Caenorhabditis elegans: one gene and its partner. The protein of the gene in region 1 interacts with the protein of each later gene in a pairwise test. Each region holds a gene or a part of one and is shown in the gene's direction. Other genes may lie near its edges. The genes, in order: F17A9.5 and exoc-7.

Region 1 (15,321 bases):
ATCAACAAAAAAACTACCGCATTTTTTGTTGATCTACGTAGATCAAACCAAAATGGAGCCCTCTGTATCGCCTCCAGTTATAAAACCAGTTAAACAGAGTGAGGTGTGGAGATGACCCCCGTCTTCCCGTATCCGCCCATTTACAGCCACAGAGTCAGCGTTTCTTGGTGGGACCATTCATTTTCTTGTTTCTTGGTCACTCTTCGTCTTCACCTGACTATTGAATTTGGCACCTCTGCCTGTCAACTTATAGATTGGAGTATATATTTTCCATGTTAATATCTTCGTTAAAATATATCATTAGAAATATACCGTGATCTCGAGCCCTCATATTTTACTTGTTCTTATCATTTTCCTCTTTATTTTTTTACTACTGTTTTAAACTGGCTGTAATCTTTAAACATTTCTTTTCAATGTTTTCCATTGACATATTTACATCCAAAAATTCAAATTTTCAGGTAAAATGTCCGACTTCTCGTGTTTCACCAATTCTCCCTACACGCCAAACTACACTCAATATGGTTGCTCAAATTCAGTTCCAGTAGAACATTTAGTTGAATTGACAAGCCATTTTCAAACTCCAATAGTTGCCTATCCATTTTTGCTCGACACCCCCTTCAATATCTACGCTACGATTCCACAAGTTATGGGGCACTGCGTGACAATGGATGCTCCAAAACAAATGACCATGTATTCACAACTCGACAATGATATAGATGCGAAGAAGGAGGTAAGTCAAATGGGATCTTATTACACAGATGCTAAGTTTTGTCCAAAAAATATGGTGACTGGTCTCGACACGGTACATTTTTGTTAAACGCAAAAGGGTCTTTAAGAAGTCTAGTAAATTGATTTCAACGGGAACATTTGCCACAACGAGCATTGGCGATTACAGTACTCTTTGAAGGCGCACACCCCCTTTGCAGATTACGAACATTTATCGTGTCGGGACCAGGTACCGTATTTTTGGGGAAAACCACAAAATTTCACATATCACTTGGTAGTATTTCCCGTACTATAATTGAGCTATTCATAGACAAAACCAAACCACATTTTGAAACTGAATTAAATGATGTTTTATTTAAATTTTTCAGAATAATACTCAAGTGGTTCAGACCCAGCCCTCCCAGACAAGAGCAGCTCCGTATCAGAAGAGTAAGTCTGAAGTGACAATTTACATGTAACATCAAACGTTTTTCAGGAGCACCTCTTAAACAGAGACAAGAAGCTGTATCTCCCTCATCGAGTAACTCTGAACAGTCAAAGTACAGCAAGCAGGAAGCTCTTGCGATGCTTGATAATCCAACAATCATAAAAGAGATTGACTTCGATTTAAAAGATCTCTGTGATAAGATGTTTGTCTTCTTTTCCGAAAACAAGAGGCATATTGAAATTTCGAAACCAATGAACCAAACAAATTTCGCGGAGCACATTCTCAACAGAACTCAAGGATCGTTGTCCGAACTGCTGAATCATCCAAAACCATGGGACGCAGTTTCCATGGGAAGAACGGTCTACCAGAGAATGTTCAATTGGCTGGAAATGTCTGAGGATGATCGCGCAGAGATTTGGAAGCTTGATTTGAAGAAGGAGAAGGCTGACAAGTATGTTTAAAGTTGTTGGAAATTTTTATTTCAAATAATATTAGGAGTTTCCAACTAGATATGTATGAGGCAAAATAAGAAAGCTTGGATCGTCAGATTCCGAACGACAAAATATCAAAGTAACACTTTTCAAAAGTTGTTTGAATGTTTTAATTTACAATAAAAAAGATCTGACATATCAACATTACTTGGAAAGTTGATATTTTTGAAAAATTTTAGCAATTTACAAAAACTTTGACCCAAAATTTTGAAATAATCTGACAATGCTTTCGTGCGATTTGGTACAAACTTTATTCAAGGAACCCCAAGTTTTGACAATAAAGTTACCAATTTCCAGGACAACAAAAACTCCGCGAGCACGATGTTTGCTGTCGCAGGATCAAAAAAGCCAACTCAGCATCTTTTTCGAGACCAATCCCCGTCCAGACTCGCTGGAAATGAAGCAACTGGGAAGTACTCTCAATCTTTGCAAAAGCACGATCATCAATTATTTCACGAATATGAGAAGGCGCAAGGCTACGTCTTCAGTGAAAATGGACCACAATTAATATTCTTTGAAAATCTGAAGGGTTTAATTAATATATAATTTTGAAGTTTTGGTTTGACACGTATCTCATCACAATTGACTGGTGGTTTTTTTAATTGTGTTCTTCATCAACATCAGTTTTGGAGTTAACTTCTTGAGTTGTTCAACATTCTATTAGTTTTCCAATAAATATTTATAAGTATACCAACTATAGTTGATGCTTTTATTTGTGCACAGCAGCAAACCAACTAGGGAATAGTAAAACTTATCGAAACAATATCTTTTTTCTTTTTCGATTTTTCAGAAACTTTCAAATTTCAGAGAAAATATCGACCGCTCATCTCAATTTATACAATTCGTCATCTCAGCATCTTTCAGCATCTTTGGTGGCTTTATGATATTAGATTGCATAAAAAATGTCCGTTCAACTTTTTCTATCAAGGTTGTGAGAAACCATACTGCTGGTAGAATGCAAGTATTTAAAGATCTCCTTTACAGAAGCGTAACAGTTTTTGATCAATCCGTTGCACTCTCTCCACGGACAGTTTGGAAGAAACCACATTTCTTAAACTAAAAATTAATAAAATGCACATTCAAATAATCCGTCAAATGTGTTATTCTGTTGAGTATTGAAATTTTATAATTCACTACATGAAAATGAACACATTTATTGAAAAATTCGAGTAATTATGGAATTGATCTTCCGAGACTGCTACATACTTCAATGTTCAAATTTTTTTCGTTCTGTTCCGAGTAGATATGAATTCTGAAATTTGTGCCATCTGCGGCTGTGTAGTAGAGTTCTTCATTTCCATTCTCTTCGTTGATGATTTCATTTTCCGGATCGAAGACTCTCGCAATTTCCATCAAATTGAAGTCTCTCACAGTGATCGATGCTTTATAAAAAGTTTCCGAGGAGTCGAGCATCTAAAAATGAACTTTATTGAAATAATTTATACAAATTAAACGTACATTACAAATTTTCAGCGCGTCATCAGTGGTGAGTTCTGTCAAACTAATGGAGATATGGTTAAAATGTAGAAAATTCTCAATCGGAATGGTCATGTAGGTATACGAATTGAAAATGTCGGCTTTTTTCCATTGTTTAAGATTCACAACGTCTTCGTGACCAATCGTACCATTTTTCACTTCAAAGTGCAGGCTGGTAGGTTGAATTTGTGCCAAGATTGGACAGATTTCCGCAAAGCTCAAACCATCAATTTTGACCCAATCGACGTTAAATATTTTTGATGATTCAATGGCATGAGTGATATTTTCGACATCTTTTTCAGAAGTCGTTCCTTCATCGTTGACCATGCGAATCGTGAAATCGTCTAGGCACACTTTTTTTTGTTTTTCAGCAGTATTTTGAAATCATTGTAGAATATATCCGTATAATCAAATCCTTCAATAAATGCTTGCTTAATATGACTTGAGTGTCCGCCACCTACAGGCTGTTGAATATAATGAGTATACGTGACATCGCATCCACCATCTCTTGGACTGTACAAAACCTCAGCATCATTAAGAATCATCTGCAACGAGTTGTTATCCCTGATAAGTGAAATGTGATGAAATCCTGATGGCATGGTTTAAATAATGTGGCGAAGATTTCGGGACACTTTTCGAACAGCCAATCTGAATATGAATTATGAAATTGAGGTTTAATTTAACAAAATCTTACCTATCACCACCACTCACGTGTTTCAAAATATCGGGCATCACGTCGATTGGCATTTCCGACAGCATCAGTTGTTTCGGATCCTTACTAAAAATTGAATTAACCAGTGTTTATTCTTCTAAAAGCCATTTCATACCTGCGATCATGATACAGGTCGTGATTCCCGTTTTTAAATTGATAAAACAGAAAATCGAATTCGTAGAACGTCATCACGTCTTTTCCAACTTTTCTACAGAAGTTTTCGTATGACTCCTCAATTGGTTTGTGGTCGAGAGACTCGTACAGGATGCATGCTCGAATAATGAGCTCATTTTCACGTAGAGCGGCGGACATTCTTAAAAATGGAAATTATATTACGTTTTCAAAAGAAATGGTAATATTAAATTTTAAAAAATAAATTGTATGTGTTTGAGGTTCTCAAAAACGACAAAATTTGGAAACAATTCAAATGGGTTCCTCAAAAATTTTTTCGTTTTTGGAGTGAAAATTTTTCTCCTTGAAATTTACTTAAATCTAAAATACAATAACGGAACCTCGATGTATCCTAGTATCTAATTTACATTTCTGGCTAACGTACCTTTTGTGCTCGTCGAGGAGTAGCAGAGAGTATCGATCACACTAATGAAATTAGTGGAGAAATTCAGAAATAAATTAAAATCATGCAAAAGAGTTTAAATCAATATAATACGTCTTGATGCCATTATGATAACCTTTGGTCACGTAAATACTTTCCCGGTACTTGTGTATTATATATAACCCCACATTTTGAAATTCAGTTATAAAAATATCATTTTCTAGTCCTAATAGTAAGTATCCAAATAAATGTCACGTTTGAAAGCTATGAAATTAGGTTTTACAAAAGTTGAGCTATTTAAAAAAATCATTTCCATTTCGACCATTTCGACGACAAAACCATTTCGGAATCGAGAATTGTTAGGGAAATTTGCAAGCAATATTTTCTAGAAACAAGTGAAATTCGAGAAAATAATAAAAAGATATCCTGAAGTAGATATTATCGAAAAAATACGATCGCACAAATTTCTCAAAATTTATTTTTGATCTACCTGTTGAACTTGACTCCGCCCCCAATCTTGTTGCCGTTGCTATTTTGTTGCGGCTGTCTTGCCGGAGGAAGAGAAGGAGCCTATTCAACAAGGTAAATCAAAAATAAATTATGAGAAAATTGTGCGATCGTATTTTTTCAATAATAATTCATGTGTTGCTATTGGAGAGTATGTACAGTGTTGGCCAAAAGTATATGCGGTTTTGATTTTTTGGTGATTTTTATTAGTTTTCAAATAAGTATAACTCACAATCTAGGAACTATAGAAAGAAACGCCCAAATAACAAAATTTTTTCTAACATTTCACGTGGTTTCAGGCTGTTCCATCGGGAATTGATCTACAAAAAATGGGGGAATTTTTTCCCCAAACGTCAACACGTTCTTAACCATGCGAAATCAGTTGAGAACTCTGCGTCTCAACTCCCACATATTTTGTAGATCTACGTAGATCAAACCGACATGGGACACTCTGACACCACGTGGCATTTGTTCTGCATGATAACACATGGTTCAAAATTTTAATACATTGAAATCAATAGATACAGCAGCCGACACCTTGTGAGTTCACTTTTGGCATTTTCTCGTGAAACTTATGTATCTCAAGAATGAGGATATTTCATGAAAGTTTTACTACTGTAGCATAGGAATTTGTTTTTGAATATTGACAGCAATGTTCCATTTTCCTTCGTTATTTCGCATTATAGTCTCATTTTTTCCTTTAATATTTTATCGATAAATAAATAATTCTTCCTTGTTAGACCCCGATCCCGTAAATCGACACATGCACTACAGTAGTAATTTTTAAAAAATTATTGTAGTTTTCGCTGCGAGATATTTTCGCAATAGAACTGTAAGTTCCCGTAATTTGTAACTGCTTAAATAAAAATTATTGTAGAAAGATTAGTTTTTTTCAGAATTAAAGAAAACTACATTTGTCTTTTCACATATTTATCCAATTTCCTTCAAATTGAGAGTAATTTTTTTTTCAAATAACATTTTCGTGTGCATTAAAATTCTTCTTCTTCATAAACTGATCTTAAAGTTTTTCACAAGAAAACAAGCAAAAAGAGAGGAATTAAGTTAATAAATATTTAGAAAAGCAATAAAATAAATAACAGATCGTAAAAATTAAAATCCTTGATTAGTCGGAGTCATCTTCAGCAGTGAAGTCAAAAGGTTTGAAATCAGATTTCAGTTTATTGACCAGTTCGACTTCCTTCTCTTTCGCGAGTACACAAGCTTTCCAATCAACTTTGTCTTCACAATCCAGAATAGGTGTAGAAGCAAGAACTTCACGTCCGAAATGCAATGGGAATCCTTTCATACTTCTAGTGAAAAGCTTTGATCCATCAGGAAGCTCTGCGACAAAGTATGGACATCCTTCATTGACCATGTCGAGAAGCTGAAACGTTGTCTTTTATTCATTGTAAAATAATTAATCCGAACTTACACTTTCATCAGGACCCATTGTGACCAACTCGAAACCAGCACAAGCAGCAGCAGTTGTAAACGATGATTTCAATGCTTTCGAAGATGATTTATCGATCATAACCATTTGAACTTGCAAATGTTGTGTGCGGAAATTACGTTCAAACGTGACCAATGCTTTTCCTTGCTGAAATATACAGATTTTGAGGCTAAAAAAACGAATTTCTGTTTTAAATAATTACCTTATTCGCCATCAATGTGAACGCACTCTTGAACTTTTCAATCTCATCACGAACTTCAACTGGAGCAGAAACTTGTGATTGAATATGTCCAACAGATAGAACCATAACGTGATCTTCAGTGAGTGGTCCTTTCGGCATGGCTGCGTAGCATTTATTTCCAATGGCGACCACCAAATGCTTTTCGGCGTCTACATTCGATAAACAGAACCAACATGGTCCAACTGGTTGCTTGTTTCGTGGTCCATCGTTTCCTATAAAAACGTTTTTTTATGTTTGTTAACCTTTTCGAGTCAATACAATTAAAAACTCGAAAACTGTATTTTTGAAGAATGTGCATATTACGGAACACAAAATTGTGAGAATGCGTATTGTGCAACAGATTTGACGCGCAAAATAACTCATAGCGAAGACTACAGTAATTCTTTAACTGACTACTGTAGCGTTTCGGTCGATTTACGGGTTCGATAAGCGATCAGTTATTTTCCTTCGTTTCTTCGTATTATTTTCTCATTTTTTGCCTAATTTCAATATTGTATCGATAAATAGATTGTTTTAATTTATTTCAAAAATCGAGCCCGTTAAATGACTTACAGTAGTCATTTAAAGAATTACTGTAGTTTTCGCTACGAGATATTTGCGCGTCAAATATGTTGTGCAATACGCATTCTTACAAGTTTGTGTTCCCGTAATAGATGTCTGCATTTTTTTTTAAATATAATTATTTAAAAAATTTTTAAAACTTTTTGTTTCGGTACAATTGGCGATAAAAGCCTTTGAAATATTTTTTGGATTATTTTTTTCCAAAATTTCATTATATTCTTACAATGTATTTTAACTAGGCGAAGAATGTTTTATGATCTTCTATACTTCCTTTTTTCAGTTGTTTTCGTAACAAAAACAGGTACTTATCCTTTTCTATCCCTACGCACTAAATGTTTAACTTTTAATTCAAATGTGTTCATTTTAATACTACTTTCATTTTCAGGTTTAAAAAACAAAATTACTAGGCCGTAAAATACAGAAAAAGGTCGCATTTTAATCAAAGAACAACAAATTTTCATGTGGTGGAAAAGAGAGAGTACCCAAAAACACAACGATTACCAAGAGATAAGGTCAAACATGCATTGTAGTTAGAATGTGGCCAAGAGTATAAATACAACAATCATTTCGTCGACACAAAGAACCAAAATGTCTCTTCGTCGTTTCCCACATGCTGAAATCGTTTCCCCAGATGTTCTTGGAGAACATTTGAAATTTCGAAATGGTCGAGAAACTAATAATCGATTTTTGAAATCTGCCCTCACCGAGATTCAATCCAATTATTATCCAAATGAGCCAAAAAGGCACGGTCTTCCAACTGATACTATTCTTAATATTTATGATAAATGGGGAAATGGAAATTTCGGAATGATCTTAACTTCGAATGTTCTAGTGGACCCAGTAAGTTTTTTCAACAAAAAAATCCATTCATTTCAATACTGACCTTTTCAGACTAATTTGGAAGCTGCTGGAAATGCTATAATCTTCAAGGAAGGAGATTGTCATGAGCGTCGAGCTCTGTTCACTTACTGGGCTAAGCTAATGAAACAAGATGGTGCTCTTGCCGTAATTCAGCTATCTCATGCTGGAAGACAGACCCCAGAGTTCGTGAATCCTACTCCTTGGTCAGCTTCTGATGTTCAACTTGTATCGGCTACACGTATGACAACGTATGGAAAGCCGAAACCCTTGTCAATTGAGCAAATTAAAACAGAAGTGGTAGATCGATTCGTTTATGCTGCCAAATTTGCATATGAATGTGGATTCGATGGAATCGAAATACACGGAGCCAATGGATATTTGCTTTCTCAATTCACATCTCCAACAACTAACAAGAGAACTGACAAGTATGGAGGCTCGCTGGAAAACCGTCAGAGAATCGTTATCGAGGTTTATGATGCTATTCGAGCTGAAATTCCGGCATCAACTGGTTTTTTGGTGGGAATTAAAACAAACTCAGTGGAATTTCAATCAGAAGGACTTACTTTGGAAGATGCTAAAATTATGTGTCAAGTATATGAGGACAAAGGAGTTGACTTTGTGGAGCTAACTGGAGGAACATTTGAGAAGCTCAACTGGACCTGGGATCGAGAGTCGACTAAGAAGAGAGAGGCATTTTTTGCTGAATTTGCCGAACAGGTAATTATTTATTTATATACTAACAATATTTCAAAAAATCATGTAAGAAAAGGTTTTTGAAAACACGTAGTCAAAGTTTATACATTCGTACTTTCCAAATTTTAATCGAATTAGGATCCCTGCCAAGTCATCCATTTTCACAATCAATCAAATTAAATTGATTGTAACGGTTTCAGATTCGCCCAGTTTTCAATAAAACGGTGGTATATTTGACTGGAGGTTTCCGAACAGTTTCTGCTATGATCAACGCAATCTCCTGTAATGCAACTCAAGGAATTGGTCTCGGGCGCCCAATTACAGCGGAGCCAGATCTGCCAAAGAAGATTCTAGAAGGAAAAGCCATTTCAGCAGTTCAAGACTCATTCAATCCAAATGATATTGCAACAACAGTAATGGCAAGTGGCACACAAATGGATCAAATGGGGCGTACGAATATGGAAAAAGCAGGCGGAAAGTATGATCCAAAGTAGTTTTTGATACTTTGGAAAGTTAATCATTTTCAGTATAATGCATCTAATCACCGACTTCAGCGATGAGCACACCGTTCAAAGATTTTCTGAAGCATTGGGCTTACATGTGAAACAAGCAGCACTCGATATTAGTGAAGGAAAAATACCGAAAGCAATAATTGCATTCAACTAAATACTGTATTTGCACTTGGTATTACAGAAACGCAAAGTTCTGAGAATGCGTACTGGGTAACATATTTGACGCGCAAAATATCTCGTAGCGAAAACTAAAATAATTTAAAAAATAATTCGCTTTCGATTAGAAATTCATTTCGAAATTCGAGTATGTAAATCGACTACAGTAGTCAATAAAAGTATTACTGTAGTTTTCGTTACGAAATATTTTGCGCGTCAAATATGTTGCCCAATACGCATTCTCAGCATGTTGTGTTCCCGTAACATTTAACCTATTTTACATAATCTAGGTGTTTTAAACTTTTTATAAAACTTTCTCGTAATGCTATCTTTGCCTCTTAGAAAACTTATTCAGCGACGTGTATCATAACCAATTCTAATCGGCTTGTTAGAAAGAAGAAATATAATACTTCGGCGTCTCCACTTTGTGACTGGGCACAAAATGCAATTCAGATTCTACTTTCGAAATAGCCATAAAATCATAAGATCACAGATCTTTCTTCGTTTCTCAGGCAACCAGGTGCACAATTGTCATCACTCGACCAGTGAGACCACAATAGAACAGCAAACGTTGTCATCTTTTTGGTTAGACACTTTCTTTCTGCCTCTGCGTCTTTTCATAAGGTGTGCATACTCTTGTTTGCCCAACAACCTAGCCGATCAGAAAACGCACTATATTTGACCTGCGTGTACACTGCTATAAAAGTAACATTTTGTTCTTTCATTTCTTCGAAAAATGGCTGCCAGTCGCTTCTGTGATAATTTAACTGTCTCTTCTAAAATTCTTGGAGAGCAACTCAATTTCCGAAATGGGAAAACTGCTCAAAATCGGTTTTTGAAAGCTGCACTAACCGAACGAGTGTCCACTTATGATCCGGAAAATCCAAAGAAGCATGGTCTTCCTACAAACTTCATCTTGAACTTGTACGATAAATGGGGACACGGAAAGTTTGGTACTATTCTGACTGGAAATGTTCTTGTCGACCCGGTAAGTCACTGAAGAGTTTAGAAAAATAATACGTTCTATATAATTTTAGACTAATTTGGAATCTGCTGGAAATGCCATAATTTTCAAAGAAGGAGATGGAGAAGAACGTAGAGCTCTGTTCACTCAGTGGGCAAAAAACATGAAGCAGGACGGAGCTCTTGCCGTTGTTCAATTATCTCACGGAGGCCGTCAGACTCCAATTACAGTAGAACCGAATCCGTGGTCGGCTTCTGATGTGAAGTTGAGTGGTGAACGGCGTTTCACTGCATTCGGACAGCCTGTTCCATTGAGCACAGAGCAAATCAAGACTCAAATCATTGATAGATTCGTTTATGCTGCAAAGTTTGCCTACGAGACTGGATTTGATGGAGTTGAACTTCACGGAGCTCATGGTTATCTTTTGGCTCAATTCACGTCTCCAACTACCAATAAGAGAACTGATCAGTATGGTGGTTCAATTGAGAATCGTCAACGCATCATCCTTGAGATCTATGACGCTATTCGAGCTGAAATTCCCGAATCAACTGGATTTATGGTGGGAATTAAGACAAACTCGGTAGAGTTCCAAGAGCAGGGAACAACTGTTGACGATGCAAAAGTTATGTGCCAGGTTTATGAAGACAAAGGATTCGATTTCGTAGAACTTTCCGGTGGAACTTATGAGAAGCTCGCCTTCCATCATATGCGTGATTCGACTCGTAACCGTGAAGCTTTCTTTTTAGAATTCGCCGAAAAGGTATTTTTCCTGGTTAAAATCAGTATTTAAATGAGCTTCCATTTCAGATTCGTCCAGTTTTCAAGAAAACCGTTGTCTACTTGACCGGTGGCTTCCGTACCGTGAAAGCAATGGTAGAAGCTATTGAAAATGGTGCTACCCAAGGAATCGGATTGGGACGTCCAATCACCGCCGAGCCAGATTTACCAAAGAAAATTATCGAGGGATTAGTTGCTTCGTCAATTAAAAATGCACTCGATGAGAATGACTTTGGAATTACAAACTTGGCTAGCAATACTCAAATGCAACAAATGGGACGTACAACCTACCAACAGACTAATCAAACGTATGTTTTTTTTTTTCTGTTAATGCGATAGTTTTAAAAACAATTCTTTTTTTAGTCCAACCTACGGAATCAGTGACTTTTCGAATGAAGAAACAGTAAATCGCTATAAAGAAGCTCTCAAGGACTACACAGTATTCATGAAAAGCATGGCTTCTCAAAATAAGCCGATTCACGGAGTTCTAGTTTTTGAAGGAATCAAGCAAGAAGCCTAACTGGTCTTTGGAACAACCATGATCTTATTGTAATATGTAATTTTTCTTAAATTAAATAAATACTCACCTCCATCATTATGTCTCTTTCTTCCATTTCCAGCTCCATCCTCAGCACCTCCCATTTCAAATCGATATTGCGAACCTTCGGGTCGTTGTCCGTTTCCGTTCATTCTACTGAGGGTTTCTCTGAAAAAAAGAAAATTTTTAAATAGAAATTTAAATAGAAAAAAAAAAGTTTTTTTTTTTAAGTTGCAACTCACTTTGCAGCAATCTCTTCCAGCAATTCTCGATATGGGAATTCCGATGCATTCGGTGGCTGCGCCGTGAGCTCTTCTTTCTCCATTTTTCGCATTGGTTTCACATTACAAGCATAAAGCCATTTTTGCTTCTCTGGATTCCCGATCGCAGCCAGTCCTGAAATAATTATAATTAATTATTAGCCTTTGAATACAAAATTTACCTATAAAACGTGTTGTATGCCTTGCTGGTTCTAAAAGCACACGATGATTTCGATATGGCTGCCTTTCGTAATGAACTCCAAGACCCGCAAAATGGTATCGCGGTTTCAAGTGAGCAGCCAATTTTGATAATAAAACAGATCCTGGTTGTGGTTTAGATGGTTGATTGTGTGAATGACGTGCTATGTCTGCTGGCCAAACGGATGTGAGTAGAATGTCGGTCCCAGAGAATCCAACTTGAGTTCCTAACGGGATTAATAGTTCTTCGACGTCGGCTTTATCGAAACAACTGAGATCTTTGGAGGATCCTTCAACTCCACTCAAATATGCAATTTGTAATCCAGATGCAGTATTTAAAAGTCCTTTCTTCCCAAGATATGTTAGATTTGAAGAGAATTCAATCGACTCTTCGGGATAGAGATAGCTGTAGCGTGGATTTGCAGGACCTGGAAAATCAGACAAATTTTCGAAGTTCACATTGTATTTAAACATACCCAAAATGTAGGTTGGAATTGGAAATTCGATATTTCCATTGATAACTTTCTCATTTGAATCGTCATCGTCGCCGAAAAACTCGCCAACACAAAATAGTGAATCGAATGGGCCATTCTAAAGAAAAAAAAATAATTGAATGAATCCCAAAAATCGATAAAACATGCCTTTTTTTCGGTTGTTGATATTTTCTTGATGAGTTCTACAAAATTTCCATTCACATCACCACAACACAATATTTTCGCTTGTTGTGTGGCCATCTGAAAATTTATCTTGATTCTTGTGAATATTTTTATTTAATTTTAACAAGAAAAATGAAAAACCAATTGGAAAAACAACTGAAAACAAGGAAAATCATTCAAATTGAGAACGCAATAAATTATTCGTAAATCCACACAACTCGCGGAACGCTAGGCCACGTCCCGGTTTCCTAGTCCATTTGGTGTCTTTTCGGCGGCTGTTCAAATTTAGTTTTTTCTGATATGTTTTTTCGGTCACAATTTCTTATTGAATCATAATTTTTTGTACTTTAAATGCAGAACCTTTTGAACAAAAATGTGAATGAACGTTTATTACATCGGTTAGCTTTGCAAATCACAGATATCTTTTCGAGTTTTACGAGTACTGGCTCAACTAATCAATAATTACAAACATGAATGCATAATTTCAGAGTAATATTTCAAAAATGATCAAGTTTTAGAAGAGTTGCTGACTAGCACTGTACTCCGAAGAAGAGATGGTGAAGGAGTCTTTGGAATTTTTAATGGAAGAGGTGCATACATCTGACTTGTAGTTATCACTGATGAAGCTGGAGCCGTTTGTGCAGTGAGAAGTGGTAAAGATTGTAGAGGAATTGGAATCTGGAAATTTGAATTTTGAAGAACCACTTATATTTTGATTGGATATCAATTAACTTACACTAATAGACGTTGTAGGTGTCGTCAAAATCAGTGCTCTTAGCTTATCAGTTTCTGCTCTCAGTTGATCTAATTCTACACGGAGCAACATATTTTCACGTTCTAGACTTGTTGCTCTATGAGCCATTTCATCTTCTTTCATTCTTCTTTGATCACGACTTCGTTTCGCAGCATCATTATTCTTTCGTCGTCGTTCCCAATATGCTACATCTTTCACTTGATCCTGAAAATAAATTTGTTTCAATTTTTACTCAAAATGGTATATTTCTGGGATGGGAACTAAGAATTATTTAAAATTTAAAATAAGAATAATGTTTAAGGCATCTTCTAGATTTAGTCATAATTTGGGAGTGAATAAAAACATAACTTTTGGAGATGTTACACAGAAGTGTCTGTCTGGCTCTTTTCAGTTTTCAATTGGACTTTCAGCAAATCAATTAAGAAGAGAAACTACCAAATTTTCACTATCCAAATACCAAAATACCAGAGTTCACGCCAAATGCAGAACTGGCTGCAGGCATCCCCGTGCGCCTGAAGTTCCCCGTGCGCCTGCTGCCTACCAGGGAAACTCTATTGTTATGTGTATGTATGATTTTTTTTAGATTTACCTTTTTCCGTTTCAATTCATTTCTGACAATGACGTTATCCCGACTGCTTCCTCCAGTTGATGTCGGGGATGATGAATCATGACTACTGTCTCGCGATGAGCATGACTGAAAAATAAAGAAGCTTGTAACATCATAGTTCAAGAATCTGAGGCTCAACTTACCTCTGCCTTTTCACTATTGTTATTGTTTTGCTCAAAGAGCCGTTCAGTTGATTCGTAGGTTGTTGGCTGAAAATATAATAGTTTATACCTCACCTGTTCATGTTTATTCATTTTGACTAAAATTTGTATCATTTAAATTCCTAATACCGTATTTCAGCTATTAATGAAACTTCCTTTTCCTCGAATTTGATATTTTATATCTGGGAGGCCAATTTTCAAAATTTAATGTAGAAAAAAATTTGGCAACTGACTATATAGATTTTGTTTATTTTTCCTATTGTTTCTTAATAAATTACTTATTGATGTTTAATACGAACCAAAATATTTGCTGCCAAAGTGGAATAATGGGGTTCTAGTCTAATTGGGATAATACGGTATGTTTTTATTTATTCTGGCAGGTTTGTATCAGTTGGAAAATAAAATAGCCTAAAGTTTCATAAAATATTTAGAAATACCAAATGTATGTATGTATATGCTGATTTACTATTACTTGCATAGACTTACATTATAGGTATTGAGATGTAGTAAATGTGTATTTGAAAGTAATGCTGGATGAATAGGAAGATGAAAAGCTGAAGAGTAGGGTGATACGTCAAATGTTGCAGTTAAAGTTGAAGGATGAGCACATAGGCTCTTAAAAGCAGATGGTTCATGACATGAAGCCATATGTAATTTCAGATTTGTTGCGCTTTCAAAGAGAGAAAGTCCGGTGTATAAGTGTGTGTGTGGGAAGAGAGAAAGTATGAAATTCGAAAATGAAAGTCGTCCTCTCACTGACCTAATTCTCTTGATTTCACTGCTTCCCGTTGCGCGCGCGCCCTCCCGCAAAAGGGGTCATCGGTCGGACGGTCCGAAGAGGGGGTGACCAGAGGCGATCCGTCCATTCGTCCCAGGCATACGGAGAATTATGCAATGTTGTGTTGGTACGAGTCGGAACGAGTGAAAGTTGCGTTGAAAGGAAGCGGTCGGATTTTGACTGAAAACGACGGACATACTGACCAACACAGCTAATTGTTCGAGGGAGGGATGCGGGATGATGATGATGAAGGGGAAACTCT
Region 2 (18,089 bases), on another chromosome or scaffold:
GCCTATATCGAATTGAGAATGCGTTTCCTACTAGCGTCTCACAGCTCTCCTCGTTCTTTTCTCGAAGAGCACTAAGAGACGCAGAAAGACTTGGGGAGAGGGAGGGCAACGACACAATTGAGATGAGATGGTGGAGGAGGCAACGGGGGTAGAAGAGATGGTTGTACGAGGAAATGAACGTGACAGCAAGATTGCAAAAACACGTGGAAAGATGCGATACGCAGTGGTTACACAGGGTGGCCGCTGACTGCACATGCCATGCCATGAGGACGAATTCTTCTTCTTTGTGTGTGCGCGGCGCCAATATATTGAAAAATGACTGTGAGACGCAGGTTGTCTAACAAATGTTGGTTTCAAAAGCAACAGTTTTATTTTAGCAGTTATATGAGTTTATTTCAGAGCTTCATGTTAATTTATATTTTGAAAATCATTGTTGACGTGGTTGAGTTCGACTGAGATCAGATTTCGGAGCAGTCTCTGCATTGGCGGCTAGTGTAGATCCTTCGGTGCTTAACGAGGTCAACAGGGCTTTTTCTGCAGTCATCATGGTCGATGTACACGAAATCACTTCCATCTCTTTTCCTTTTGACTGCAGAACCATATTTGTTCCGAGATCTTGCTCCCAGGATGCCGTGTATAGTGAGTTGTTGATCTGAAATTCATAAAATTTTACTTTTGAGTTTGTATATTTCCATTTTACCTGTAAAACTGGTGCATCCGTTTCAGCGTACCGCAATTTGATCAAATCTCTCTCGACGGCATCTCTAACAAGATCCGCGTCGAGAATTCCATTGACAGTGACCACCATCGTTACATCTTCCCATTCATCATCATCACCTTCGTCTTCTTCTACTTCTTCCTCTATTTCTTCTGGTTGAACTTCCATCTCTTCCGGCTCATCTACCCTTTCGGGTATTTCTTGTTCAAATCGCATTGGCTTCAGGCATGCTTCTTCTGGTTCTCGTTTGATGGGCGACATTTTGAATTCTACAATATATTTCTGGAAAGAAAAAATTGGAAAAAAACACATAACAATTCAGAATAGAAATATGAAGAATGGCTGAGAACCGTGGAGACTGAACAAATGGAAATTGTAGGAATAAACGAATACACTTTTATTCCACCCAAATAAATAAATATTATCACAATCATAAATACATAAACCCATGCGTTGTTAAATTCTCCGAGTGTCCTTTAGGTTAGAAAGCATTTTGAAGAAGCTTCACAATACGAGGATAATGATCGACATAGTGTTGTTGACCACGTGAGATGACAGAACTATTGTACGAAGACACAAGTCCGTTGAGGAATGCGAGAACTTCCAGCTCAGTGTGCTCTTCGTACCACTTTACATATTCTTCGGGCTGAAAATTGAAACATATAAATATTTCATATTTAGAGTATTCATAGTATTGTGGAAAACTACGAACCGTCCATTTTACAGATTGATTAGGAAGTGGAAGTTCTGAAGGGCTATCGGATACTAGTAGCTGGATTAAAATCGACTTTTTGACACCTTCAACTCTGAGCATCACATCAACATCGCTTCCGAAAAGATCCAAAAGTCGAGTAGTGTCACCATATTTGGAAGGCCATTCCATTGAACGAACGGCTTCGAGTAATCTGAAAAAGTAATTTTTCTGACGAAATTATTGAATAATTTAATAAAAGGTTTGAAAACGTATTTCTTTTGTTTTGATATCCTCTGAATTCGGTTAAAACTTAAACATTTTTGATAAGTTTTCAGTTAGACAAGTTAAATAAATAAATTTAAATACAAAATGGCGGCAAAGATGTAAAGCGCTGAATCATAACCGATGTAAAAACAGAAAAAGTTAACACTTTTGTGATTCAGCGCGCCGTTTTGAGTTTAAATTTAAAATGTCTAACCGACAACTTGGAAAATAAATTTAAAATAATATAAAAATTGCTAACCACAGGGAAAATCAGGTTTTTTTGTTGTTCTTTTTTTTTGCTATTTCAAAATTTTTTCTTAAATTTTTTTTTCTAGGATATCTTAATAAAATTGTTCGATTTTTCGGTTTTATTTCCACAGAAAATAGGAAAATACGATAAAACTATAGATTTATCAAAAAAAAATGGTTTTGATGATAAAAATGACTAAAGAGGTTTTTTTCTTCTAAAAAAACATTTTCGATATTTTAAAAATCATATATTTTTTTGGAAATTTTTTAGAAGACGACAAATGAGAAAAACAATAAATTTTTTGAGGTTTGAAAAATTATTTAGAAAAATTTACATGTTTTGATCAAAATTGTTTTTTTTTCTATTTCGAGTGTAATTTTTTGCAAGAAAACGTTTTTTAAAAATTTTTTTTGAAAAATTTTTAACATTTTCAGTTTAAGCACCCTATTACCTTGAAAAGTCAATGACAATGAGTTGACGTTCATCAGAAGCATGTGATCTGACTAATGTGGCATTTAGAATAAATGAGTCAATGACATATTCGGCAATTTGTGAGAGTACGTGAGAATGACAAACTGCTCGTGAAACGTGAGCCATGTGCATGTCGATATGATTAATGTAGGTGAGCAATTCTTGCATGTACGGAGCCACGGATTTTGTCATTCCGCGTGTTTCAACGTGCATTCTTGCAACAATCGCGCGAATCGAGTTTTTGACTTCTATGACGATCGCATCAAGAGTTTCTTTTTGAATCGCTGTCACACTTTTCGATTCTGCTGGCCAACGTTTTGTGATACCATCAGCGGTTTGAATGAGACGATAGTTTGTCATTTGATTTGCAGTCAATCGGTCTCCTGAAAATGTTTTTTTATTTGGTCATTTAAATGTGGAGTATGGAAAATAAATATTTGTTTTGTACACTCAAAAAAGCTCGAATATCATAATAAAAACTCAATTTTTGAAGAATGAAAATTTAGAGAAGTCTCAAAAAAAAATGTTTTGAAAGTTTTATAAATTTGGAAAAATTTTCGAATAAAAAAACAGGACTTTTTCAGAAAGTTTTATCGAATCGCCGAAAATATCGTCATCGTTTTCTCGGGTTTTCGGAATTTTTTTTTGTTTTTGATAAAAAAAATCAACAAAAAAAAGTATTAATTTCACAGCTCACCTAGGAGTAAATCATCTCTTTGTAAATGAAGATTGGCTTCCAATTTCTTTGCAATAATCTCAATGCATTTCTCAATATTATTGCTCATTTTCTGGCTCAACTCCGCGTCCCAGTCGACTTTTCGATGTTCTTCTTCCATTGCAGAATTGATAAGATCGACAAATGCATTGGCATGAGCTGTAGAGAAGTCATTTTCTTCAACGAGTTTGTGCAAACGAGCCAGTGAATGAGTCAGGAGAGAGTTCTTGAGTGGACGTAAAGAATCGTTCAAAGCGGGTGAACTATCTCCCTTTGAATTGAATACTCTACCCAATTGCTGTACAAACCGCAAAGCGTATGGAGTATCGAGTGGAACTCTGCTACGAATCAGTCGAGCCAACTTTTCAGAGAATTTCTTCTTATAGACTTCACCCAGCATAGCCGCTTGTTCGAGATGTGATTGAATTGTTGCAGCGACTACAGGGAGACTTTTATTAGCAACTTCTGGAGAGCTGTTTGATAATTCCATTAATTTCTTATCCAGATCGACAACAGAGGAGGACAGCAAAACTTCAAGTTCTGAATCCAAATAATTCAAAGTTCGAAGAGCTCTTTGAGCAGATACAACCATCGAGCTATTCAATGACGCTAAACCTCGTTTCAACTCCTCCGCTCCACTGCGTCGAACTTCATTTTCAGCCACTTTCAACTTGGTATCCACCATATTCTTCAACCATCCAATTTTTCGCAAATTTTTATTATCATTGAGTATCTCCTTAATCTCCGATGTGATCTCCGCCTTCTTCACCAAATCACTTCGTTTCTCAAGAGATTCAAAAAGTTCTTCACATCTTTGGGCATCTGAAGCCATGTTTCTTTTGAGCATCGTTGCTTCGAGTTGGCGAGTTTGTTCGCGAAGCTTCGTGGTAAGATCATCACAAACCGTGGCGAGTCGATTTGATTCTTTGGTCACTGATGTCATTCGCATTTGAACTGAATGTAGAGTATCTTCAAGTGATTGAAGAGCTGGCACTTGCTCCAGTAGTCGTGGAAGATTAGTTTCGACTCCTTTACGAAGCTGTTTGTCGAGGGTATCATGGAGTCCAGCGACTTTTCGATTCAATGATTCAGCTACGGATGAGTCACATTCTGCTACCCTGAAAATTTGTACATATACTTAGAAAAAAACTTGAAGATAATTTTTTTGATCGACGACTTCCAAAAAAGTTTTTATTACTTGAAATTTCAAGTCAATTGAAATAACAACTTTTGCAAACATTTTTGATTTGATTTTTTATTAATATAATGTAACACTACAGTTATGTTTTTTAAAAATTTCTCTACTGGCGGTACTCCATCTTTCGACAAAGTGTGCGCCTTTAAAGAATACTGTAATTTAAAACTTTCGATGCTGCGAAGTTTTTATCGATTTTTCATAGTTTTTCTTACGATTTGTTAAAGTTTATGTTGTTCTATTTTAGTTTTTAAAAAATAAATAAATGAATATACTTTTTGCAAAAAACTATGAAGAATCGACGCTACAGTACTCTTTAAAGGCGCGTACCATTTTTCATTAAACAAAAATTGTCGTGTCGAGACCCAAATCCACAAAATTTGGCGACTTACTTTTTCAAGTAATCCTTAACATCAGTTTTTCCCCAGAGGAAGTCGTCGAGCTGTTCGTCGACTCTCCCCGACATTTTAAACTGGAATTAAAAAATAAATTATTATTTAATACGAAAATTAAAAATAAAGATATTAATGAGCAGATCAGGTAAAACTGCTATTAATAGGAGAATGGTATTATTTGAACAATAAAAGTAGTGAAATATTATTCGAAGATTTCGACAAAAGAAAACAAAAACAAAACAAGATATAGTAGTTAACAAGCTAATAAAATCTAACCTAAAATAAATCAATACTGTAATATATAAAGAACTACATCTTTTCAGCGGACTTTTTAAGATTATGTTTCTCTACAGCCACATGATCCTCTAGATCTGAGATGATTCCTCTAGCGATCGTTGTTTTACTGCTTCCTTCTCTCAATGTAAACGGCATTCCTTTTCTGAGTGGCATGTCTTTCATCAAGAGTACTGTAGCAGAAGTATGTTCTCCTGGCATCAGAAGCTCATTGCTCATATCGAAACGACCAACTTGATCCCAAGTACTGCAGTACATTTTGTCTGTGAAACCAGTCCGAATTCCGATCTTCCTGCCATTTTCAGCCTCCGAGAGAAGATAAAGTTCCACTTTCACTCGATTCGTAATTGTTACTGCTCCTGGATGTCCTGCCCACATTCCTCTCTTCACTGTATCCCCTTTAACTCCTCTACACAGAACTCCACAATGATCTCCAGCACGAACTTCCTTCACACTTTTGCCAAAAACTTGGATATCCGAAGCAGTCGTTTGAAGAGTTTGCCCGTCTCCTTTGATTTCAACTTTATCGCCTTTTTTCAAGACACCTCTTTCCAGTGTACCGACGATGACTGTTCCTGAAAAACATTTTAAATTGGTTTTTTTTTAAATATTAGGGGTGGCAAAAAATGTCATTTATTGAAATTTCTTGCACTTTTTCTTGCAAAATAAATTCTTGATTGGCACACCTTATATTTCTTTTTTCAATTACCTCGCCCAGTGATAGCAGTTTTCGATGCAATTGGCATTACAAAAGTATCCTTTTCATTTCTATCCGGCTCTGGAAGTGAATCCAATGCATCAATCAATCTCTCGATACACGAAATATCTTGTCCTTCTAGAGCACTTAAAGCGGAACCTCGAATAACTGGAGTCGCATCTCCATTAAAGCCATGCAGACTCAACAATTCCCGTGCTTCCATTTCTACCAAATCCAGATCATCTTCTTCAACCAAATCCGCTTTATTGATGAAAATCGCCATATTTTTAACACCAACTTGCTTGGCTAGAATCAAATGTTCTTTGGTTTGCTCCATGACTCCGTCGGTTGCAGCAATCACAAGAACAGCCACGTCCATTTGTGAAGTTCCGCAAATCATATTTTTGATGAAATCCGAGTGACCGGGGCAATCAGTGTGGGAATATCGACGCAGAGGACTTTCATAGCCGATATGAGCGACATTGATTGTAATTCCACGTTTCTTTTCTTCTTTTCCCTTATCGATTTCGTCAAATTTAATATGCTTCGCAAAACCTGCAGAATTGAATTCATTTGTGAATAATATAAAAATTAATTAAACCTTTTTTAGCCTGAACTCTTGTGATTGCTGATGTTAGAGTTGTTTTCCCGTGATCGATGTGTCCAATAGTTCCCACATTTACATTGATTTTTGGCGTAGCAGCTGCAGTGGCAAAGAAAGCGACGGCATTTCGTGTGATTGAATTACAAAATGAAGATGTTGAGCATCGATTGAATAGTAGAGATCGTGTGAATGCCGACAAAGCAGCGGGGTTCATTTTACCTATAACACCGAGAAATTCATGTTATAATAAAATCGGTTATAACAATTTTAGTAACTTTGAAACCATAGAAACCTGGAACCTGAATTTAATTTAAAAAATTCCAAAAATTGCGTGGCAACTCATTTTGTCCTCGAGGAGTACGCGGCCGCGTGGCCTAGGAAGTAACTAGGTCACATGTTGGTTGTTTATTATTTTTATTGTTTTCCATTTTTCTCTGTCAATTCTCGAATATTTCCAATGGCAAGTGATCAAAATGCTGCCGAATCGATAGCCAAAAAACTAGCTCAGGTTTGTTTTTGCTGAAAAAGAAGATTGATCATTTAAATCATTTCAGGAGGAAGAATGGCTACAGAATTTTCAAAAGAACATCGCGAAAAGCGCGCAGATACGACAAGGAATCGAACAAGTTGTTGAAAAGTTTGATCAGAGATTGAGCTCTCTTGAAAAGAATGTGCTCCCGATGCATATTTCGAACGGGAAATTGCAAAAGAAACAGCATAGTATGTCAATTTGGCAGTTTTCTTTTAAAAAAAAGAAGATATTTTCCAGATATCCAACGTCTCATCAATACAATTGACGCTACTCTTCAATTTTACGGAAAAACTAGCACTGTTGAGAATGCAATAAATAGTGGAAATCCGTCCGTCGATCTCGACCCTTATCTCGAAAATATGGAAAGTCTGCAGCAAGCAATCATATTTTTCGAAACCCATCCAAATTATCGAAGTCAAACGGATAATATGAGAATCACACTGGACACTGGATATACAATGCTTGAAAAAGCTTACAAGAATTTTCTTCTGAAGAATAGTATTACCGTGGATCCGGCACCTTTTGTAAAAAATGAATTGACACCCAGATTGAGTGAAATCAAAATTATGACCGATGAAGAACCGATAATCAAAATTGGAGTTTGGCTCCTGAAGCAGCCACGTGTTCCTAATAATTTTCTGGGTTATTACTCTGAAATTCGTGGAGCACAAATTTTGAAGAATATCAAGAGCATCGCAGAAGCACAGAAATCATCGCAACTTGCTTCCAGAAGTAAATTGTAAGATTGAGTGTTTTTGTGTGCGCCAGTCATACAGTACCCGGTCTCGACACATTTCTGATAAAAAACAAAAAAGATGTGTACCTTTAAAAATGAATGTAATTTCAAACTTTCATAGTTTTCGATTAAAAAAAAGTACTTTTTTAATTGAAAAAAGCTTCAGAAAAGCTTTTAAAAAATTAAAAAACTTAAATTTCGACAGATCGGACTGATACAAACGATAACAAAATCGATGAACATTTTCGGAACTAGAGTTTGAAATTACAGTAATCCTCCAAGGCGCATAATTTTTCACAATTTGTCGTGTTGAGGCCGGTATTTTTGACGCAAATTTTCACATCTCGATAAAGAACACGGCTGTTGGAAAAAAAAGTGTTTTTGACCAAAATAAAAAAATTGAAATTTGCGAAAAACCAAAAAAAAAAGCCAAAAAAAATTGATGCCTGTTAAAAAAAAAACCAAGAAAGAATGAAATTTTTTTTTGAATTTTTAGTCTTAATAACCAAAAAAAAAATAAATTTTTCTTAAAAATTCAAAAACAATGTCTCAGCCCTGGTCTGAAAAACTGAAAAATCGAAATAAAAGTTATTAGAAAATTAACAAAAATTCCAGCTATTTCTCGATAAATCGAAAACCAAATATTTTCAATTTCTCAAAAATTCAAAAAAACATTTTTTTTAGATCCACAGCAGTCCGCAAGCCCGTCCAGCGATCCGAAAAAGTAGATGTCCTAATTGATTTGGATGCGTGTCATGCCATGTGCTCTGCACTTCTTAGTCTACTGGAATTGGAGGAAAAGTTGATGGTTAAAGCAATTCCAGACACATCGAAAAGAGCCCAAGTATTCCGAGAACTCGTGTCAAGACCACTGGCCTACGCAGTTGTTCAAACTCAAAAAGTAGTAAATGAGAAAGATATTGGAATTGTTCCACTTCTTCCGTTACTTCATCTTTTGTCTCAAAATTATGCAAGATTCCATAACTTGGCTACGGTATGATTTGTTGCCACTCTAAATGACCCCAAAAAAAAAATGAAAAAAGTGTATGGTGGTTTGAATTTTTGAAAAACTGACAAATTTTTATTTGGAAAAAAAAACATAGAATTTTTACTGAAAAAAAATAGAAAAAAAAACTTAACGAAAATTCTGATTTTTTCGTGAAAATTGAAAACAATGACTAAGGTTTTATAGACTTTACAAAAAAAATTAGTGACTTTGGTGAGAAGAAAAATAAATAATTTTAAAACAAAAATTCTTAATTTATTTATAATTTTGGTGAGAAAAAAACAATTTTTTTCAAAAAATTAAAGAAATCGCTTAAAATTTTTTTTTGAAAATCGAAAAAAAAAACGAGTTATATAGATTTATCTAAAATTTGTCGATTTTGATTATCAGAAAAAAAAACAGAATTTTCTTTGACAAAAAATAAAATTAAATGAAAATTATTGAACATTTGAATTTTCGCTGAGAAATTCGAAAAATGTTTAGCGGAAATTAAACATCGAGTTTTGATGAGAAAAATATGAAACTTGCTTCAAAAAAATGGAGAAATGACCGAAATTTAATGAAAATTTTCAGTTTGTTTTTCCTTAAAATTGAGATAAAAAGCGGTTAAATTTATCGAAAATTTGATGATTTCGTTAAAAAGAAAAATAATTTTTGATTTAAAAAAAAAAGTGAAAATATCTGTAACAAACTGAAAATTAAAAAAGATACAAAAATTCCCAGTTCTGGACTTAAAAAAACGAAAGTTTTTATCTTTGAAAATCAAAAAAAAAAGTCTAAAATTTTATATATATTTATCTAAACCTTGTCGGTTTTGTTAGAGAATTATTGAAAATTTGATTTTCTTTTCCAAAAAGTCGAAAAATTCCAAAAAAAAAAACCTAAAAATTACAGAACAGTATTGGAGATGTTCAATTCGACTCTCTCATGCGTCAGCTACAAGTAAAATGTTCTTCATATGTGAATGAAGTGATCGAGAATTTGAACGAAGACACTACAAAATTTGTGCCACCAGATGGAAATGTTCATCCGACAACTGCCTCTGTAATTCTATTTCATTTTTCATGAACCCCGGGGGCGGCAAACGATTTTCCGGCAAATCACCAAACTGCCGGAACTGAAAATTTCTGGCAAATTGGCAAATTGCTGGTTTTGCAAATTTTTTTAGAAATTTCAGATTTTAATATTTTAATCTACAAAATTTTACGCATCCTATGAATTTTCATACATCTATTTTGAAAAGTAAGCAAATTTTATGAAGATATCTAGAAAAAACAAGCGAAAAATTTCAAAAATGCACAGTTTTAAGTGTTTCCGTCTTATAAAAAATTCCTCTAAACAGTTCCGTCCTTATTGATGTTCGGCAAATCAGCAATTTGCCAAAAATCAACATTTCCGGCAAATTGTCAAACCGGCAATTTGCCGACTTGCCGAATTTGTCGGCAAAACAATTTGCCGAACGACAATTGCCTCCAATCCCTGATGCACCCATTTATTGTTTTTTTTTCCAGACTCTAAACTTCCTGTCAAGCCTGACAGCTCATCGTGTTACAGTAACCCAACACGTACTTGCTCTCACAGCTCCACAAGGCTCCAATACAAATCTTCTACTTCCAAAATTATTTGCCCGTATCCTCTCTGCTCTGGGAAGTATGCTGAAGAAAAAAGCGAATCTGTACGATGATCCAACACTTGCAACTATATTTTTGCTCAACAACTATAATTATATTGCAAAAACGTTGGCTGATGAGCAAGATGGCCTTCTTCCAGCGATTACTGAAATGAATTCAAATATTTTATCATTTTATCATGAAGAAATTGCCACGTGTACAAATGAATATTTGAAGAGTTGGAATGGAATCGCGTCGATTCTTAAATCAGTTGATCGTATTGGAGAGGATAAACAAATGGCCAAACAGATTATGAGCGTAGGTTTTGGAATTTTTAAATTAAAAAATAAACCGGGAATATAATATGAATTTACTTTTAAAGAAAGCCGAAATAATACCAAACAAACCAAAAAAAAATGTAATAAATTCGAAAAAAAATAACGACGATTTTGGCGATTTTCAAATCGGACGAATATTTTTCTTTTATGAAAATTCAATAAAAAAGGATGAAAAATATTCAAAAAGTTAAAAATTTGCAAAAAAAACATTGGAAACAAGTGGATTTTCGGATATTCAAAAAATTAATATAAAATCAGGAAAAAATTTTTTTGAATTTTTTCCCATTGATATTCGGTATCAGGAGGGTGTACTTTTTCAAAAAATCGAAAAACTAAAAATTTTCGATTTTTCGCTTTTCGTTTTTTCGATTTTCCGATATTTCGGAATAAATTTTCCATCTTTTCAAAAATACGCTTAAAATTTTGGTATTTTTTCTTTCTTTTTTGAAGAAAATTGTATGTTTTCTCTCAATAATATAAACTAAATCGGATAAAATTTCCAAAAATTTTTGTTCTTCGATTTTAAAAAATTCGAAAAATCAAAAATTGTCCCTTTAAGTTAATTTTCTATTTTTTTGCAGACATTTGTCCGTGACTTCGACCAAGTACTTGCTCAACAAATGGACTATTGCATTTCGGATCCAAAGATATCTGCCAACGTTCAAACACAAGTGAAATCTCGAATCTGGAAGAATTACTCACAACTATTGGACACTTGCCAACGCCTACACGTCTTCCCACAAGGAATTAAATATACTGAAAATACTTTTGAAATGGCTATTCGAAATCTATTCTCATCTGCTAGAATTAACTAAATTTGATTTAACTTATATTTTAAATATTATCATAATTTTTTCGCTGTTGTGATATGTTAATTTGCTAATTTATTGTCTGCTTCATGTATTTTCACTGTTAATAGAATTTATTACTTCAACCATATCGTATTTATATGTTCCACAGCCTTATTCTTGGCTTAAATTCCTAAATTTTCTTGTGATTTTTATATTTTTATGGTCATTTTTCAGTATGTGTATCGGAAAAGTGACTTCAAGTTGGCGATCGGCTGCTTCCATAATTTTAGGTATTTTTCTTTAAATTTTTCAAAAGTGAAACGATGATATCGTAACTTATAAAATATTATTATGGAGACGCAGAATCAAGGTGCAATCGCGCTCAACCGCTAAATGGAAATGCTTCGTCCTTTAACGTTGGGGCTCGTTAGGTATTATAATATTGGCGGCAAAATCAGAAATTCAAATGGCTTCAATTATTTTCACCGATTATGTCGAAATTGATGACATTAAAAAAAATAAAAATGAAAACCAAAAATGTCGAATTTCGATTTATTTGTAATTTTTTTAAGGAAAAAAATCACTAAAACCAAATTTTGCTAAAGAATATTTGTAAAATATGAAAAATGATCGTAGTACAGAAAGCAATTTTTGGATTTTGTGGTGCAAAAATACCATAAAAGACCCAGCCTTGGTTCTGATATCTCATACCGTAACCTACCGTACCCCATGACACGATTGCGGTTTGCATGCTGTCAAAAAATTTAATTTTTTTGCTCAAAAAAAAAACAATTCCAGTTTCTTTTCTCACACAGCTATTAAAAAATTAACATTTTTCTCAATAAAAAAAACCTGAATTTCAGCATGCAAAACCACTCGCCGTGTACTCATGCTGAAACGTGGCACCACTGCCAAATTCATGCCAAATACGATGGTTTTTCCCGGTGGAGTCGTCGACAAAACTGATGCAAAACTCGGCGATGAATTCAGAATTGCTGCTGTTCGAGAGCTTTTCGAAGAATCTGGAGTGCTTTCGACAAAGAATGGATGGCAAACGTCGGCGAATAATCCAGATATGACGAGTCTGAAAGCGGATATTGTAAATGATACATCGAAATTCGAGCAGCTATCCGGAACTATTTGTGCAGATAATCTTATCGAATGGGATACATTTATCACTCCAGCAAACTATCCACGACGATTTCTAACAAAGTTTTATCTTATGCTCGTGGATGGTACGAGTTTGAAAATAATGGAAAACGGGTTCAAATGCCCAAACAACTCAAAGGAAATGAGCAAAATGCAACAAATTTGAAAAAAAATCTGATTTTAAAGTTTTTCATAAAAACAATATAACAGTTGCCCATGAAAATATAAAAACATTTCTAGACGAACCAGCAATCGATCTATGTACATCGGAAATGTCGGAATATAATTGGATTGAACCGAAAGAGTGTGTCGATGAAGCTTATGCCGGAAAATATGCGTTGCCTCCACCACAAGTCTATGAACTTACCCGCCTTTCACAGGTTTCATAGATTTATTTCCTGAAAATTACATGGTTATTTTTAGGTGAAAGATTGGGATCTTTGTGAGAAATATGGAAATGTGAAAAAGCCAATTTGTCCGCAGCCAATCAAGACAATAGGAGAGAACTTGATCACAAATTGCTTTCCAGGAGATTATATGTATATTGGTAAGTTAAAGCAAAAAATATTCTCACCATCACGGCCTCTCTCAATTTCATTTATTTCAAAATTCCTCTTTTTCTCTCACACTCTCTCACGTGAGATTGAAAATTGAATAATATATGTGTTTTTAAATTAAATTCAAAATATTGACGAAGAAAAAACTTTGGTATAAATACTGTTTTGTTAGGACCGATACCAAATGGTAATTTTTGGACATATTTGATCTCGTAGACAACGGTTCACTATTTCAGTGATCTTTAAAGTAATAAAAAATTCTTCAAAGTTTGGTACAGAGAAACTAAAGTAGTTACATTTGTAGAAACTTACATAACTTATAAACCTACCGTATTCCTATCGTACCCAATTACCGTATTTCCTCTATTAGTCTTGAATGCAAGACTAATTTTCAATTGACCCGTAGGGGTGCAAGACTAATAGAGTCTGCATGACTTATTTTCGATTGATCCGTAGGGGTGCAATACTAATAGGGGTGCAAAACTAATAGAGGAAATACGGTATATTTTTTGTCGTACACTGATGGAAAACTGATGAGACTTTCCCGACTGGGTTCACAACCTGAGTTATTCATTGGTGGCCTCGGTTTCAGTCGGTTGCCGACTGTAAAGACGGGATCCCGTACGGGAAAAACAAAAAGTGACATATGAAAAAGGTATCAGACGGTATTAATCCATACTTTGTTATTTTTTGCTTCTTTGAGTTGATTGTGCAAACGGATAATTTCGAATACCTTCGTGGTATCTCTATCAAAGTTTTTCAAAGCATTGAATCTTTACATAGCTTAAACTATGTATTTTGTGAGAATAGCCAAGTATTATGCACATAAAAAATGTTTCTTGTGTTATCAAGATTATTTTTGTAGTTTAAAGTTTCTTGATAGCTTTTCTGGTTACCGAGTTATATGTTTTCAAAAGCGTTCACATCAACTATTATGCTTGCGGTTGTCCAAAAATTACAATCGCATTGTCTTAAAACTGAAGTTACTCAATCAGTTTTTGATCAAATCAGGTGATTGACATATTAATCTCTTCCTTAGAGAATTTTGCAACTTTTGGTGATGTTGAATTTTTGATTATGTCTTGGTGCGTCTCGTAAAATTAGGAAAACCCGCCAAAAATTGTCGTTTTTTAACGATTTTTGGAGTTTTCAGGCCTAATTCTTGTTTTGAAGATGCCGACGTCAATTTTCATCAAAAAACCTTCATCAAAAACAGAAAATAATCATAAAAAAATTATCTACAAAATGGTGGTCTTCAATTTTCAAATTTCTCTTTTCAAGGATCACTAGAGGTCCCAAAAAAAATCCATTTTTCGAGGTAGCCTTTTGTTTTTCCGTCTGCCGGCGTCGTGAACATCACTAACCTAGATATTTGCATAAAAATAGACACACTTAGTCTTAATTGACAATATATTAATAAAAAATTTAAAGATTTATCAGCGAATCGCCGGCTTTAAACAGTTTTGTCTGGAAAATCACTGATTTTGAACTTTCACATGTGGGCGTATTCATAGGTGATTTACAATTTTGCCCTTTTTTTCATATAATTTATATGTGTTTGATCAGGCAGTTAGTAAATTTTTATTAGATTTTGTTCACTATCAGCCGTTTCCGGTCTATTTTACCGTTTTCAGTACAAATTCGGCTCAAAAAGCTCACTCTCTCGCCCATGAGAGACGCAGAGACAGTTCATCACGTCAATTTATTTATTTTTTGAAATGAAGAGAGGCCGTGACCACGAGCTAAATTTTATTAGGTTACTGTAGTTTTTAAATATTTTAAATAAGCTTTATGTAGCTTTGCCTAGAAAAATCGAACAATTTCCCAATTTCAACCTAGTTTTCCAAACTAATTCCCACGAAATTTAATTTTTTAATTTAATTTCAGATGAAAACAGCTTGCAACAACCGCTCCGTCAAATGTCTGCTGATCGTGTTACCGTTGATCCAACTCAACCAACTCATCGCGCCACCTACTATTCGGAGCCAATGTATGGAAAAGTTCGGTTGTACCAGCACCTACTGAAACCAGCGGATATTGCAGCCTTCCATCAGTTTGACACACATTCGAAGGATTTATTGTGATTAATTGAATTATTTTATTACTAGTTCGGGTGTATATTTCTAGGTTAATAGTTGATGTTCTAAAAATAAAGCTGATTAAAAAAATATTTATTTTCAAGTGAGGATCATTTTCTTCATTTACGCAATGCCACTTTGATCTCCTTCATCAGATTGTCTTGCCAGGAAGAATGGTTTGATTCAATTGTCTTGATTCCGTTCGCCAGTTCTCGCATTCTGAAACACATTAAAATTACGGATATGGTGCATCGAAAGATGTGCAATCCTCTCACAAGCCACTTCAAATTCCTTGATACTGAGAACTTACAATATTCCATTTTGATGTTTCTAGTTGCCTCATTGGATAATAGAAATGGTCTCGTCGCGAAAACTTTTTGAAATGTTATAATAATTTGGGTTTGGATACTGTAACCTCAAAGGCGCAAAACACTATCAATTTTTTGCAGGAAACTTTCGTGGCGAGACTAAAATACTATTACTCATTCAGAGTGTAGAATTAAAAAAAACCAGATTTTCATAGTCAGTCTGCTGAAAATACTGAAAAATAACAGAAAAGCACGATTCTACAAACATTTTATTTTGCAATAGTTCTCAGTTCAGGCTCATTTTTCTTCTCTAGACTGCCAAGTTCCCGAGTTCATTCAGTTTACGGTTGCCGAACTTTTCCATCAAATCAGTCAGTGCCGTGCTGCAATCCTGAAATGTTATTTTTGTTAAAGAAAACTATTTCCTATGAGATTTCTCACATTTGCGCACCAATTTGTATCCTTTCCGATATTCAAGCAAACAGCCATGCAGAAACAGAATTGATAGTAGGTGGAGATGGATCCATTTCGAAACTTCATGATTGCTTTGATCAAGCTTGGAACATCAAAACACTCTCGTTTCTCGACGTCTCTCAACAACATCAAAGCAACCCAACCAGTGGATGCACGATTAATGCCATCGAATGATTGGAGCATGACTGGTGGCACAAAGTTTTCCATACTTTTACGCAGAATCTATTAACTGTTATTATTTGCAGCAGTCTTTAGTTTCAACTCACGTCCATCTCAAACTTCTTGACCTCACGAAAGAAAAGAGCCACGTTTTGAGCTTGCTCCAAAGCATTCCCGGAAGTTGGCTTCTGTCCAGACCAAGTATTCATATGGAAAACGATGAGTCGGTGACTTTTATAGTTCGATGCATTCGGATCATCGCTGTTCTTATCGATCACAACTTCACTATCAGTCAACTCTAGCTCATACTTGGTTGCTCCCATGCTAAGACCTTCACGAGCCTTGCAAACGATGGAAAGAGTTCCCTTCATCAGTTCAGCTTCCATTTTCTGCTCTAGCTCAGTTGGAAAGTATGTATAGCACTTTCCATCATCGGAACCACTCATTTGTTCGTCGTGGCACAAGCACACAAGAATTCTGATGTGATCCTGAAAATAAATTTGAAATGATGTTTAAAAATTCAACAAAATAACAAACCTTTAGAATGACTCTCCAAATCAGCTTTGAGCTTTTCTTGGTCGGCGCCTGCACAATGATGTACTCAGCTCCTTCCATTCTGACGTACTGTCCTGGGAAGAACTCCTCATCGGATCCGCAAAGAACGCGCCGATTATCTCTAATCGGGATCGGCAAACGAACATTTACCGGCAGGTTCTTGACGAATTCCGGCACATTGAATGCAGCATGTCCCTTTAGAAGGTCGTACATTTGAGGGCGACTCTTTGCTTTCAAAAGCTGATCAGCCACCTCAGTTGGCGATTGTCCTTCAGACACGGTGCTTGTTGTCTGAAATGAAATTCTCGTAGTTGAAGTTCTCACTCATTTTTTAAAAGTTATCCACAGTTAATTTGCGATGTGTTCTTCAGGAACCTTACAGCATTGACATCATGGACGCACGATGCACATGTGCTCCACGAAATCATGCAACAAGGCGCGCGTGAATCCTTGATCTCAATGGATCCATCGCAAATTAACTGTGTGCTCATCTAGCGCATAAATGCGAATATATGAGGAATTGATCAAGAAAAGTCTCCTGATCCTGTGCTGAAATATCAAACTTACATCTTTCTTGGCTTGAGATCCGGATTTGCGACGGCTTGTCTTTGCTTTATCCTTCTTTTCCTTTGACTTTGATGGTGCCATTATAACTCCGTTCTCGTTTGAGTTTTTGTTTGAACCTTGGAGACAAGAATAATTCAGAATAAATTGATTTGACTAATTATGATGTGGATGTGGAGAAGATACGTGGAAAGAATAACAAATACAGTAGGGGGCCACGAGAAGGTCGCTAGACTGACTTCAACAATTTGTAATTTTGAAATGTTATCACGTGAGTGAAAAGGCAAAAAATAATTTTGATCAGAAATTGTTTGTACATTTCAAATCATTATTGAGACTAGTCATCCGGACGGAAAGAGATCCCGTTTTCCCTGATTCTTGAAAATCTATTACAGTTCTGACCAAAAAATAAATAATTTCAAAGCGAACATTTTCGATTTATTTTTAAAATCGAATTTTGGTGAAAAAAACATGTTTTTTCTTCGAAGAATTAGAGATATAACAGAAGATTAGATTTTTTGAGTTCTATGAGTAATACGTATTTATCTAAAATTTGTCGATTTTGATTTTCGAAAAAAAACGGAATTTTCGTTTAAAAAAATTGAGAACTAACTGAAAATTATTGAAAATTTCAATTTTGGCCAAGAAAGAAAAATGTTCAATGGAAATTGAAAATCAAATTTTGGTTTAAAAAAAATGAAACTTGCTTCAAAAAGAATGGAGAAATGACCGAAAGTTATTGAAAATTTTCAATTTGAAAATTGAAAAAAAAACCAATAGATTTACCGAAAATTTGAAGATTTTGTTAAAAAGAAAAATCAAGTTTATTTAAATTAATATTAGAAAACAAACTGAAAAAAAAACAAAAATTCCCAAAGACTGAGAATTATTGAAAATTTGTTAAACATTGAAAACCGTTTATTCGATCTGAAAAA

Evidence for each region.
Region 2: the proteins of F17A9.5 (region 1) and exoc-7 interact in a two-hybrid assay, tested with the Caenorhabditis elegans proteins (one large-scale study listed by BioGRID).

Annotation. Positions count from the first base shown.
Region 1 is NC_003283.11:6,105,344-6,120,664, reverse strand, and holds F17A9.5 (NADH:flavin oxidoreductase/NADH oxidase N-terminal domain-containing protein), read left to right. Parts: upstream 1-7,667; 5' UTR 7,668-7,732; coding exon 7,733-7,984; intron 7,985-8,035; coding exon 8,036-8,722; intron 8,723-8,898; coding exon 8,899-9,176; intron 9,177-9,225; coding exon 9,226-9,364; 3' UTR 9,365-9,694; downstream 9,695-15,321. Other genes in the region: ceh-49 (One cut domain family member), read left to right, coding at 464-730, 1,095-1,155, 1,202-1,604, 1,942-2,152; F17A9.4 (NADH:flavin oxidoreductase/NADH oxidase N-terminal domain-containing protein), read left to right, coding at 10,103-10,354, 10,404-11,090, 11,138-11,415, 11,471-11,627; cwf-19L1 (CWF19-like protein 1 homolog), read right to left, coding at 6,016-6,276, 6,325-6,489, 6,545-6,795, 11,695-11,813, 11,888-12,041, 12,088-12,531, 12,580-12,694, 12,745-12,837; atf-8 (BZIP domain-containing protein), read right to left, coding at 13,267-13,437, 13,496-13,717, 14,103-14,207, 14,264-14,329, 14,768-14,929.
Region 2 is NC_003279.8:4,236,183-4,254,271, reverse strand, and holds exoc-7 (Exocyst complex component 7), read left to right. Parts: upstream 1-6,689; 5' UTR 6,690-6,691; coding exon 6,692-6,805; intron 6,806-6,851; coding exon 6,852-7,017; intron 7,018-7,066; coding exon 7,067-7,568; intron 7,569-8,249; coding exon 8,250-8,559; intron 8,560-9,465; coding exon 9,466-9,615; intron 9,616-10,082; coding exon 10,083-10,499; intron 10,500-11,100; coding exon 11,101-11,334; 3' UTR 11,335-11,451; downstream 11,452-18,089. Other genes in the region: C43E11.12 (Transcription factor TFIIIC triple barrel domain-containing protein), read right to left, coding at 428-652, 701-1,030; cogc-5 (Conserved oligomeric Golgi complex subunit 5), read right to left, coding at 1,200-1,364, 1,431-1,623, 2,378-2,780, 3,095-4,230, 4,700-4,773; tufm-2 (protein-synthesizing GTPase), read right to left, coding at 5,012-5,571, 5,706-6,248, 6,295-6,511; ndx-7 (Putative nudix hydrolase 7), read left to right, coding at 11,546-11,600, 12,174-12,545, 12,700-12,839, 12,883-13,006, 14,904-15,100; C43E11.5 (Tyrosine-protein phosphatase domain-containing protein), read right to left, coding at 15,713-15,793, 15,844-16,098, 16,143-16,523, 16,573-16,881, 17,158-17,238.